2 linked regions of the Saccharomyces cerevisiae S288C genome follow. Changing the gene in region 1 together with any one later gene gives a genetic interaction. Each region holds a gene or a part of one and is shown in the gene's direction. Other genes may lie near its edges.

Evidence for each region. A genetic interaction does not mean that the proteins touch.
Region 2: mutations in LAM6 (region 1) and YAL064W together harm fitness more than expected from each alone (negative genetic interaction), as found in Saccharomyces cerevisiae (one large-scale study listed by BioGRID).

What each region holds. Positions count from the first base shown.
Region 1 is NC_001144.5:276,894-284,041, forward strand, and holds LAM6 (Lam6p), read left to right. Parts: upstream 1-1,968; coding exon 1,969-4,050; downstream 4,051-7,148. Other genes in the region: RGR1 (Rgr1p), read right to left, coding at 1-1,733; RFU1 (Rfu1p), read right to left, coding at 4,126-4,728; BUD20 (Bud20p), read right to left, coding at 5,063-5,563; 60S ribosomal protein uL16 RPL10, read left to right, coding at 6,034-6,699; FMP25 (Fmp25p), read left to right, coding at 6,979-7,148.
Region 2 is NC_001133.9:18,172-23,489, forward strand, and holds YAL064W (uncharacterized protein), read left to right. Parts: upstream 1-3,394; coding exon 3,395-3,679; downstream 3,680-5,318. Other genes in the region: YAL063C-A (uncharacterized protein), read right to left, coding at 4,224-4,514.

The sequences.
Region 1 (7,148 bases):
CTGCTGCATGACCATCCCGTGTTTTCAAACATGGTGGTTAAAACATGAATAATCTTGTCCAGTTTCAGCTGCTGTAGTATTCTTGCCAATTCCTCTGGACCTTCAGCTCTATTTATCTTTGACGCGTAATTTGATAATAGTGGAGTAGGATTCCTAAAATAAAACTGCCCGCTCAATAAATCAATTTTTAATTGAATAGGCGCCATGGAAACACATGTGGTAGGGAGTTGAAATAATAGAACATCCGAATTTTCTTCGTCTTCTTGGAATATATCCCTTGCCAACAGCTCCGATCTGATGATTCTAGCATGATTGAACATAATTTCATCCAAAATCCCTTCGATATTAGATACAATATTGTTATAAATTACAGGCATATTTTTGGCCCTTGATGCACTCTGGTTGTCCCATTTTAAGATAAGACTTTCTGTTGTTCTTTGAATGCCAATAGTGATCTTACCCTTACTGTCCATTTTCCCATTCAGCCAATATCTAACTGTAATTGTACTTTTTTTAGAGTCATAGTTATGGATCAAATTACTTTTGGAAAATTTACCGCCGTTGGCCAGCTTTAAAAACTCTCTATGAACCATGTATAGCTGTAATGTCAACACGTATTTGTGCAGAAAATTGTATAGGGATAATAATGGATCATTACTTTTCAAAAGAATTTCATTGATCAACTTCTCTAATCTTGGCTTATTCAAAGGAAGGTTATTTCCGTTGGAACTTGAGTTTTCTTCATTGTTCTCACTATCGCCGTTAGTCGAAGTAGCTTCTGTAACTGCTGAAACAGTTTGTTCAGCTTCCGTGTTAAACAACAATTTTAAATCCACAAAAAACAGAGGGGACTGTCTATTAACAGTCGATAACTGGATTTCAAATTCATTAGGGACAGTAAAGTAGATTCTACCGTTTTTGATATGATAGCTGTTTAATGGTTTAGGAATGTTCATTAATGCAATTTTTATTGAGACAGTCAAGTTCAAATCTTTTAATCTCTGTAAAATCAATCCAATGGGAACTTTGGCCATTCCATCTACCATATCCATAGAGTTACTGACACCGCTTAATTTAAAGTTGTGTGTAGGTAGATTTGGCCTCCCAAGACTCAAAACTTCCAAAGCGGTGACCAAATCCACGTTGGGCAATTTAGCATTGGTCATAGAGTTTAGACTGCTTTTCAAAGCCCAAATACAATTGTTGACATTCATGTTAGTCGTTCTAAACCAGTTCAACAGATCGATTAGTACGTGAAAGTTGTTTTGTTTTATAGTACGGGTCCATTTCACAAGCACGTAAAGTTTCAAAAATTGTGTCCTTAGGAATATAATCAGCTGTAAGAAACGTATTTTCTTTGCGGAGTTAGGCTCATTTGCCTGGGTGTGAACATTAGTTTTCATGTACTGAGCAAGTTCCTTCATTGTAAATACCGTCAAGTTCCTTATTACTAATGCCAGACTGACTTGATTAATCTCAACATGCGGCAACGCTGGCGGAGGCGCACTTGTCATAGTCGCTGCACTTGTATCTTTCGGTACCATTTCTAGAGATTCTTTTTGGGTGGCCGTAGTTTCCGGGTCGGTTGCAGAAGGGCCATGCAGTTGAGTGTTCTTAACGGGACCCTGTTGCTCTTGCCCATTCTGCTCGGACCGGTTCTTCAGTGCGTGCATCTCGTTAGAAAGTCTCTCCTCATTAGCCAGCATTTGTGGGGATCCTATCGTGGTAGTCATTGCCCAGCCAAGAAAACCCTATACTTTCCTGCCACTTTTTAACTCTTTTTCTGATGATCTTTACAACAGACCTCTACTAAACAATTGAAAAATTCACCGTTTTTACTTGAACCAGCGACCGTGCGATGGGACAATCGTTTAGTTAACAATAAGCGGGACAAAGTAATTAAATTTAGTGGCATCTAGAGAGAATAATTGAACGCAATGAAGAGAGCATGGTACGTTGAATTGTAGAATGTGGGGGGATAGTATGCGCGAGCTTGGTGACGCTATGGATAATGAGTTGAATGCAGTGAAGCCGGTGGTGGAAGAAGGTGGCATGGATGGTGCCAGAAAATTTATTAAGGGTAAGAGCTTTCAGAAGTCTTCTACCGAACATATGTTGATTTCGCCCGGTAGGGATGGTTCAGTGCCATTGAATGGGTTGAAATCGTCGCCGGCAGACCCGCACTTGTCTGATGTTAATTCTATCTTGGACAATCATCGTGGCGGTGGCGAGACAGCTTTGACGTCTGTAAATAATATTATCATGGCCACTTCGACGAATGGGGACAGTGATGGGGTTGATGGAGATGCCAAGAGGCCGTCTATTTCTAACTGTTCGTCGAGATCATCATTTTTTGACACCGTACTGAGCACGTTTTCCCTAAAATCAAATTCACAAGATACGGTTACTAATGAAGTCAAAAATATTGAGGTCCAGTTTGCATCCGAGGAGGCTAATAAAAAATTCCGCCAAATGTTCAAGCCATTAGCTCCTAATACGAGACTTATTACGGACTACTTCTGCTACTTCCACAGAGAATTCCCCTATCAGGGCAGAATCTATCTCTCCAACACACATTTATGTTTCAACTCAACCGTGTTGAACTGGATGGCAAAGTTACAGATTCCCTTGAATGAAATTAAATATTTAGATAAGGTCACCACAAATTCAAGTGCTATTTCGGTGGAAACCGTGACTAACAGGTACACTTTTTCCGGATTCATAGCGAGAGACGAGGTTTTCCAATTGATTACAAGAGTTTGGTCAAAGGAAAACTTAACCAATATCAATGACGTTTTGGAGGTTGATGAGAGGGTCTCCAAGAAAAAGGGAATATCATCGACCCCTTCTTCCATATTCAACAATGTTTCTACCAATGCATATAACGATTTCATATCGACAACCACTACTGAACCAACAAGCAGGGCTTCCTACATGAGCGAGAACGACATGCTCATCGAGGAGGCCATAAGGTCCGTGGACGATTACATGGGCACACCAAGAGCATCGCCATCTTCTTCATCTTCGTCGTCATCGTCGTCATCGTCTTTAGGCTCTTCAACAACTTATTATTGTAGGCCCGTATATAGGTTAAAGCCAAACGCACCATTTCAATATGAGGGGCCATTCCATGTACAAGAAACCATGGACTTTCCTTATAAACCTGAGGCTAATAATGAATACGTGCTTCTGGAACGTCAATTCAGCGTTCCACCCGGCCTACTTTTCATTATGATGTTCAATGAAGATAATCCAGTTTTTGAGTTAAGCTTTTTGAAAACTCAAGATTCGTCCAACATCTCACACATAGGGACTTTTGAAAAAGTCAATAAAGATGGACAACATTACAGAGAATTCCAATACACCAAACAGCTGCATTTCCCTGTGGGGCCCAAATCCACAAACTGTGAGGTAGCGGAAATTCTTTTACACTGCGACTGGGAAAGGTACATAAATGTTTTAAGTATAACAAGAACACCAAATGTTCCTAGTGGTACCAGTTTCAGCACCAGAACGAGGTACATGTTCCGATGGGATGACCAGGGGCAAGGTTGCATATTAAAAATAAGTTTTTGGGTGGACTGGAACGCATCCAGTTGGATCAAGCCAATGGTAGAGAGCAATTGTAAAAATGGACAAATTAGCGCCACTAAGGACTTGGTAAAGTTAGTCGAAGAATTTGTAGAGAAATACGTGGAATTGAGCAAAGAAAAAGCAGATACACTCAAGCCGTTGCCCAGTGTTACATCTTTTGGATCACCTAGGAAAGTGGCAGCACCGGAGCTGACGATGGTACAGCCGGAGTCGAAACCAGAAGCTGAGGCGGAAATCTCAGAAATAGGCAGCGACAGATGGAGGTTTAACTGGGTGAACATAATAATCTTGGTGCTCTTGGTGTTAAATCTGCTGTATTTAATGAAGTTGAACAAGAAGATGGATAAGCTGACGAACCTCATGACCCACAAGGACGAAGTTGTAGCGCACGCGACTCTATTGGACATACCAGCCAAAGTACAATGGTCAAGACCAAGAAGGGGAGACGTGTTGTAACAGAGTAATCATGTAATATTGTATGTAAGGTTATGTATGTTCGTATGGTATGGAAAAAAAAAAAAAAAAAGGATGCTATGTGGAGAATGTAAGGCGTGGTAGCTCCGGATAATTCAGTCTGTAGGCTTCATCACGGGCAGTGGCCTGACTCTGAGAGCTTGCTCCGGTATTAAGTTGTGCGTTTGAAATTTTCTGGAAAAAAGAAATTGATTGGTTGAAGCTATACTCGTCGAAAGATTTCTTCGGCAGTGGTTGTTGCTCCACCTGCACGGGAGTTGTGTTTGCGTTTATGTTCGGCTTGGCTATATTATTAGCGAGTGATGTTTGCAATTTGCTGTATTGAGAATCAATTTGGGTGCGTAAGCTTTCAATAATTTTGCAGACCGCAGGCACTTCCAACTTTATGAGTTGCAGGTATTCTCTTTTATGAATATACGATGACGACGATGACGACGACGCATCCATGCGCAAAAGCTCAGGGTGTCTAGATAGTTTGTTAGTCAATAAATCCACATATCTAAAATAATAAATAAACGACAGCGACAAGTCGTTGGCCTGGAACGCACACTGTGCCTTTTCCAATATGCCGATGCATGTTTTCAGGTAAATTCTCAATGGTATCGCCGGATTGAAGCGATAATCCTTAGCGTCCTGAACCAATTGCTTACTAGACTTCATGACCTACCGGGGCCAGATAAAGATGCGGAAGGAAGAGAAAAAATGTATAGTGGTTGGTGAACCGCAACAATAATTCGTGCCAACACTTTAATCGAAGCAAAAATTGTCTTGTATGTTATTAATATTATCTATCTAACCATTGATTTACGTATAAAACTGTCGATGCTCATCGCCTAGCAATGAAAAAATTTTTTCTTTTTTTTTTCATTATTTCTCTTTGTTGCGTACTTTTTTTCATTGCGTTTCGCGGCAAAAGCGATTCGAGTTGACTGGAAGTGTGTTATACTATAAAAAGTGTATATGCCTATTTTTGGTTCTGATCTTTACTTTACTGTTAAGTACTGGCTGAGGCAGTAGACTCTGCCTCTGTTACGGCAGCGGTATTCGCCTCGGCATCAGCAGCCGCCCACGGTAGAGTAGGTTCTGTTGTTTTGACGTTTGCCAAGGTACTGTCCAAATGCTCCTTCAGCAAGGCCTCATTACTTTCCTTCTCCGGACCCACCGATTGCGTGATCTCCTGTACACGGTTCAAGAACTTGTTCAAATTGTAGCCCGCAGCAGCATCAGAGACTTCTTGTGTGTAAGGGACACCCCTCAACTCCTTGACTCTTCTTTTGTGCACTTTGCCCTTTAAATGCGTTTTTAACGCTATAGCAGTCTCCATGTATTTGGCACAGTGTATGCAATAGTGCTGACCAAGGCCCGGTTTGGTTTCATCCAATGGCTGGTTCAGAAGCTTCTGTACTGATTCCTTGGTGGACAAATCGTTATAGATCAGGTCCAAGTCTCGTGTTCTTCTTTTAGTCTTGTATCTCTTCACCGAATATCTACCCATGATGCGCTATTGTTTTATCTTCACTTGTCTGTGTGTTTAACTGCCTTTCAATTCACCTCATCTCATCTCCCGCTACTTTCCATATATAAAAGCAAAATTAATTTGCTTTTTCCCCTGTCAGTATAAAAAAATTTTCCGCAGGATATAGAAAAAAAAGAAATGAAATTATAGTAGCGGTTATTTCCGTGGGGTGCTTTTTTACACCTGTACATCTTTTCCCTCCGTACATTTTTTTTATTTTTTTTTTTGGTTTTTTTTTTTCGATATTTTTCCCTCCGAAACTAGTTAGCACAATAATGCTGACTAAGGAAACTTTTCATCTCAGAATTGATGGTCAGTTTGGTTTCTCTAGAGAATAGTTTATAAAAAGATGTTGATGTGGAGCAACCATTTATACATCCTTTCCGCAAGTGCTTTTGGAGTGGGACTTTCAAACTTTAAAGTACAGTATATCAAATAACTAATTCAAGATGGCTAGAAGACCAGCTAGATGTTACAGATACCAAAAGAACAAGCCTTACCCAAAGTCTAGATACAACAGAGCTGTTCCAGACTCCAAGATCAGAATCTACGATTTGGGTAAGAAGAAGGCTACCGTCGATGAATTCCCATTGTGTGTCCATTTGGTTTCCAACGAATTGGAACAATTGTCTTCTGAAGCTTTGGAAGCTGCTCGTATCTGTGCCAACAAGTACATGACTACTGTCTCCGGTAGAGATGCTTTCCACTTAAGAGTCAGAGTCCATCCTTTCCATGTCTTGAGAATCAACAAGATGTTGTCTTGTGCCGGTGCGGATAGATTGCAACAAGGTATGAGAGGTGCTTGGGGTAAGCCACACGGTTTGGCCGCTCGTGTCGACATTGGTCAAATTATCTTCTCTGTCAGAACCAAGGACAGCAACAAGGATGTTGTCGTTGAAGGTTTGAGAAGAGCCAGATACAAGTTCCCAGGTCAACAAAAGATTATTTTGTCTAAGAAGTGGGGTTTCACCAACTTGGACAGACCAGAATACTTGAAGAAGAGAGAAGCTGGTGAAGTCAAGGACGACGGTGCTTTCGTTAAGTTCTTGTCCAAGAAGGGTTCTTTGGAAAACAACATCAGAGAATTCCCAGAATACTTTGCTGCTCAAGCTTAAGTTCTTTTCAAACATTTGAACTAACTTAAAAGAGAAATTTTTTTGATTTAAATTCTAGTTTATTAAACAGTAAATATATTTATACATTATTGTAATACATATAATTATGTGTTTTTTTAAAGTTCAGCATGTTGGGTAGTGATATATCCTGAAGTCAATGGACACTGTTGCTTTTTGTATACCAGCAGGAAAAAAAAAAGCCTGAGCTGCAGTAACGAAGAATTGTTGAATGCGTCTAACAAGAAAGGGAGCAATCGATAACAGGGACGTGCGCCGCTAATGTCATTCAGATTATTCACGAGGACTTCTCAACGTCTCCCTCGCCTTAACTGGGTTAGTCCCATCAGGCGATACGCCAAACAACCTCAATACGATGAAGCAGAGTTGTTTGCAGAGAACATTAACCATGGCGCATATAAAGCAAAGAAAAGGCCATCAGACGAGCATTT
Region 2 (5,318 bases), on another chromosome or scaffold:
ACTTTGCCGTTTCCCACCCTTGCATATTCACTTACTCCCCCCTTCATATACTCTATGTAATGATGATTAAGCTTTGGCCGCTAAGTCTCTCAATTAGTGTTGATTTTGGTTTTATTCATATGATTCTTCTTTAGTGAAGTATTGATCAATTACGTGAGTCAGCTTTTTGAAAACCCCATTTGGAAGGAATTAGGAAATTATTTTGCTTACTACGACCACTAATTTACCGCCATTTCTGGGCCTTTTTATTGACTATTTTGACCATGTGCTCGACTAGAAGAACGGCATCATAATCTGCTGGTAGAGTTAGTCTATAATGATTGTTGAAAATAAAGGCATAAGAGATATTCCACCTAAAATTCAAGTTATTGACTTTATTATCAGGATCTTAGTATCCTTTTTTGGTAAGTCATATTCAATGAACTAGGTCTCGCAAACTTTTTGTTCGAAAAGCGGTAGTGCATAGTTATGCTAACTCTGGATATATGGCATAAACCGTACAACACTAGCCCATTTTTTTGGAAGTAGTGAGGGCAGCTAGACTGTATGATGAATATTCGCCTGCATACTGAGTTTTTTGGTCCTTTTTTTTATGTGGCTGGCCTTACGATATGATGCACAATTCATAATTTGGAAGAAGGGCAGAACAATTGCATCTGTGCTTGGCTCTCAAGAACGGTGTTTGGTGCATCAAAAGTTTTCGACTGCTTATTTGGTCGGAAATATAAAAACTCGATCCTCTTATCTAAGCAGTATACATTCTTCTTTTTGAAATGAATGTACTCCGTAATATCTTCTTATTTGGCATTTTCATCCTTAACTTTTGCATGGCTCTGAACTAGTCAGATAGTTGCCCTTTTCAGCAAACCTCTTATTATTGAAAGCATGGTGTACATCCGTTATACTATTATATTATAAGAAATTGGGATGCCAATTTTTTTGCTTTTGTTTTGCCTGTTTTCCTTCTTTTCGCAAAAGTAATTGCAGATTTAATAGCAGGATATTATACCGTTGGTAAAACTTAAGGATTTTATGAACAATAGCTTCAAGTACAGCATTCATAGAACCAACTACTAAGGATGAAACTAGTATGTTTTTGTCAAAATATTTTCTTGACCTTGCTGTAACATCAAGATCTGTTTCTCTAAGATATTAAAGTTGAGTAAAAACAAAGCTGATATGAGAAAAATACGTAATTGCTCCACATAATACGTGGGTCAGACATAAAGGTAGAATACTTGATACAGAAGAGATTATTCGGTACTCTTGATGGCGTGCTTGAACTGGTGCCTCTTAACAACCGGTAATATAGTCAGATGAGTCACTACGAGTGTGTGTAGTAGCAAGTGTTTTACCTACGTGGCAGTAAGAGTAGCTCTATGGTTGTGTAATAGTGGTGCTTATTCCTAATGCTCTGAAGTCTGAAGCGGTACAGTTGGTCTGGTCTATATCATGGTCAAAGGAGCAAACATATCTTCTGAAGTGACCGCAAATAGTACTATGATGTGGTTGGCAATATAACTTAAAAGGAAATAACCACAAGGAATTGCACCCATGTACACAGTTTTTCCCGGAAATTGGGAAACCAGTACGAACATATATCAATTACTTTTACATTATCTTGATTGGAAAACTGGCACAATTGACTGTGACGTTAGTAGTATGTTGTTCTTCTCTACATCAGTTAAATATACGTGTCAACATCAACTAATCAACTTTCCCCCGTTTACCACATTGAAGCTGGGTGTGGAAGATTTATTTGAAGAAACTAAAACGTACCCTGTCATTTCCTGAGTCCCCTTTCAACTTAGTGTGAAAGCCGAACAATTATAATCCTCGGTAGACAACAGATTTATTGTACTAAAGTTACTCTTCCTGTTATCTTCCTTGATTTTACTGTTATAGCAATGACCCACCGCAATCAGGAGAGCCGCCGTATGGAATAGCATACCAAGTCATAAAATCGTCAACCTATTAACGGGGTTCAGGTTCTTTTTCAGCGTAGTAGCCCTTTAACAAGCGCTGACAAAGTTGACACTCAGAGAAAATTCAGGATTTATTGTAATCCAGCTACTCATCCTTAGATCCGCTTGCAGGCATGGTTTTTTTCACCTTGAGAGGCTATTTTGGGTAAGCCAGGAAGGCTGAAAAATCCCAAAAGGACACAGTAATAAGAAATTGTTGTTGTTGTATGATGCATTTAGAACTCAAAAGACGAGTTTCTGAAAATGCTTACAATACTCCATAGGTAACATGATTTTTTTATTAAAAAAGTATACTGTTCCTTTGGGTAAAAATTATGCAACCCTTGAGTGTCCGATGAAGATAAGACTACGAAACAATTTGCGGTAAATTTTTTCTGCTATTGACATTTACACATGCTCCAATCCATTACCCTTTCCATTCTCGTAATAAAACCTCGAACTGTTATTTCATATTTACATCTAGACGGGTATCGGCCTCAACAACTCCAAACAAAAGTAAATAGAAAAGAGCCAGACCTATCGCACCGGGTAGAGCCAGAAAATATTTTAAACTATAGTTGACGTATTCTACGGCTGTTGTTTAGGACAATACTTTTTCCTTCACAGGCTTCGAATTACGCACATGCAGAACTCCTGTAGAAACCACGAAGAAAAGTTTAATTAACTTTCAAATGCCAGAACTAAAGATTGATGAAACAGTTATACGAATTTAAGGGGAACTTGCTTTTTCCTTTTGCTTCATCATAAGCGCAATATTCGCAGCGGTGGCGTCGCGTCTTACCATTTATCGGCACATTTTTCCGAAAAGGAAGGAAAATGGCGGTGTCAAACGGTCTGGTGTGACATCTAGAAGTTCGGCATTGCAAGTTAATCTACGGGAAAAAGAAAATTTTCTTATAACCCTAATGTATAATAAGGTTTTCGGAGAAAGCAACTCACGGGGAACAATTGGTTAGAAGAGACCGTAGAAGCGCCCCACTAACCTGGAGTTGATTATCGAGGATCTTTCTCAGAAAAGCAGCTAATAAATGAGCACAGTACTCAAAAATTACTCATAGTATTATAATTACTTACTTAGTCAATATGGCTGCGCTTTTAAAATGAGTATCTTTTATTTTTTGACAAGGAAGAAAAAGATGCAAGCAAAGAGAAATTTACTAAGTACAAGCTCATTTCCAAAAATTCAGTTTGCCTGTAACAATGGGTAGCGATCTTCAACATATGGGATTATGCCTTGAATGAGATTTTTGAACGTAGAGGAAAAAATCGCAGACAGGCTTTATTGTGCTGTTTGACATAGTATACTCAGCCGTTGTGGTGTTAATGAATACTATCGATGTGTATACAAACGTACTTCAAATAAGCAATGCGAATATACTGCAACTTTTCGGCCTTTGCAACGATTTGTAATGAATCCTTTTGCATCGCTAGAAGGACAAGATAATATTTCTTCTGTTTTTTTTTTACATATGCAACAATTTGAAAGTCAGGTCAAAGACAGATTCCGGTTCCCCATATTCAGATTGGAGAGAAAAACTTTTGGCAACTCATGTTACCAAGTCGAGACGCTTAAAGTTAAGTGTCGGCCAAGACACGCAAAATCTTGTAATCTTTTAACGCTGCTCTTCAAATCACGGACGCAATCAGTACTTGTACCTAATTTTGGTTTTCTAATATTGAATAGCGAACCATAGGTCGAAAATTTAAGGCCACATAAATCCAGAGCCCGCAACTTGGATAGGTATTTACTTGATTTTTAGTTTGCTTTCAATAGTGTCGTGAAATTATAAAGTACGCCGCATATATATCTTGATTAGTTAAAAATAGCAGTGTTCAATGATGATTTGATAGGGTTCATAACTGGTACCAGCGTAGTACAATTACGATTATCCATGAACATAAAAGTGGTTTAAGTACTATATATCAGTGAAGCTTCAAAGTAAGCAAACGAGATACCAAGATCTTGTAGGACCACGATATATAAGAAGCCTAGTTCCGTTGTAGCATCACATAGAAGAGAGCGACAATGCCTCAGAAATTCTACAGCAACAGAAAGCACAGTGAGTCATTAACTGTTGGAATAAGACTCAACTGCGAGCTATCGACTAGTACTTATATTACTAGTATATTATATACGGTGTGAAAAGACGACATGAAGATTGAGGAAATGGTCCCAAGATCTAATGGACACTGAAATGCAAAAGTTGATAATGTAACATGAAAATTAAGGACAGCATATTAAACAGAAGAGGAAATAATGGTATTTTTACATAGAGATATGAATTTCCCTTTTTCTTTGTTCCTATATCTCTGATAATAAGTTATAATATACTTTGTGCATCTTATATCATGCCTTTTCAACAATGAAATATCAGCAGTTATCAAAGCATTCGCCAAATTTTTATTAATAAAACAAATGTCAGAAATATGGCCGGAATCTAATCTGAAAGTTAAAATAATTCTTACGATATTCTTATCATAAAACCAATGATTAATGTTTATGATGAGCAAAACTGTGCGAGGGCACATACATACAGTGGGACCTCATGAGATCCAGAAAAAAAGCAAAGGAAAGTTCGATCGAAACATTAGCTCTTAGATATTACAGACGTGAGGTATCTCTTCCTTGAAGAGAATCTGGCCCTGATCAAAAACTTTATTTTGATACTGTTCGAAAAGAGAAATAAGGACAACGTTCTAATTTATACAAATATAACCAGTAGGCTTTATCGTAAAATCCTCGAACTTGCTTCTCATCACAGAAGTATAAAAAGTAAAGAGGTCAAGCAAGAAACGAATAACCACCAAATTTTTTTCAATTGAAAAGCGAAACGTAATGGAAATTCACCTGCTTTGAATCGTTGTTGAATTCTTATCATCAGTCATTATTTTCCTCTTTTAAAGCTTAAGTCAACCGCATCTAAGTTTAACACTTCGTTCCCGTTTTGAAGTTTATCAAAATTCCAAAATACAGTAGTTAGGTGCTCGTGACAAACCTTTTTCCAAAGTGTCATTAGACTTCATGGAACTACTACACTTCTGGGGAACGAAAAGCTACCATTTGCTCATCATTGGATAATTTCTTTTTTTTTTTTTGATGCATCCAAACTTGGACCCCTTTTGAATGTCGAGTATGAAGTATCAATTTTAGGGCAAGTAGTTTTACAATAATTTTGGTGCACTTTTACGTCTCTGCTGATATTTTTAATACTAGTGCAAAAGAATTCGAAATAAATATAAAAGAACAAGGAGGATTAACATACTTTAAATAACTAATTATCACCATTATTTCAAGTTTCAAGTACTGCGTATGGCATGCACAGCAGATTTCTA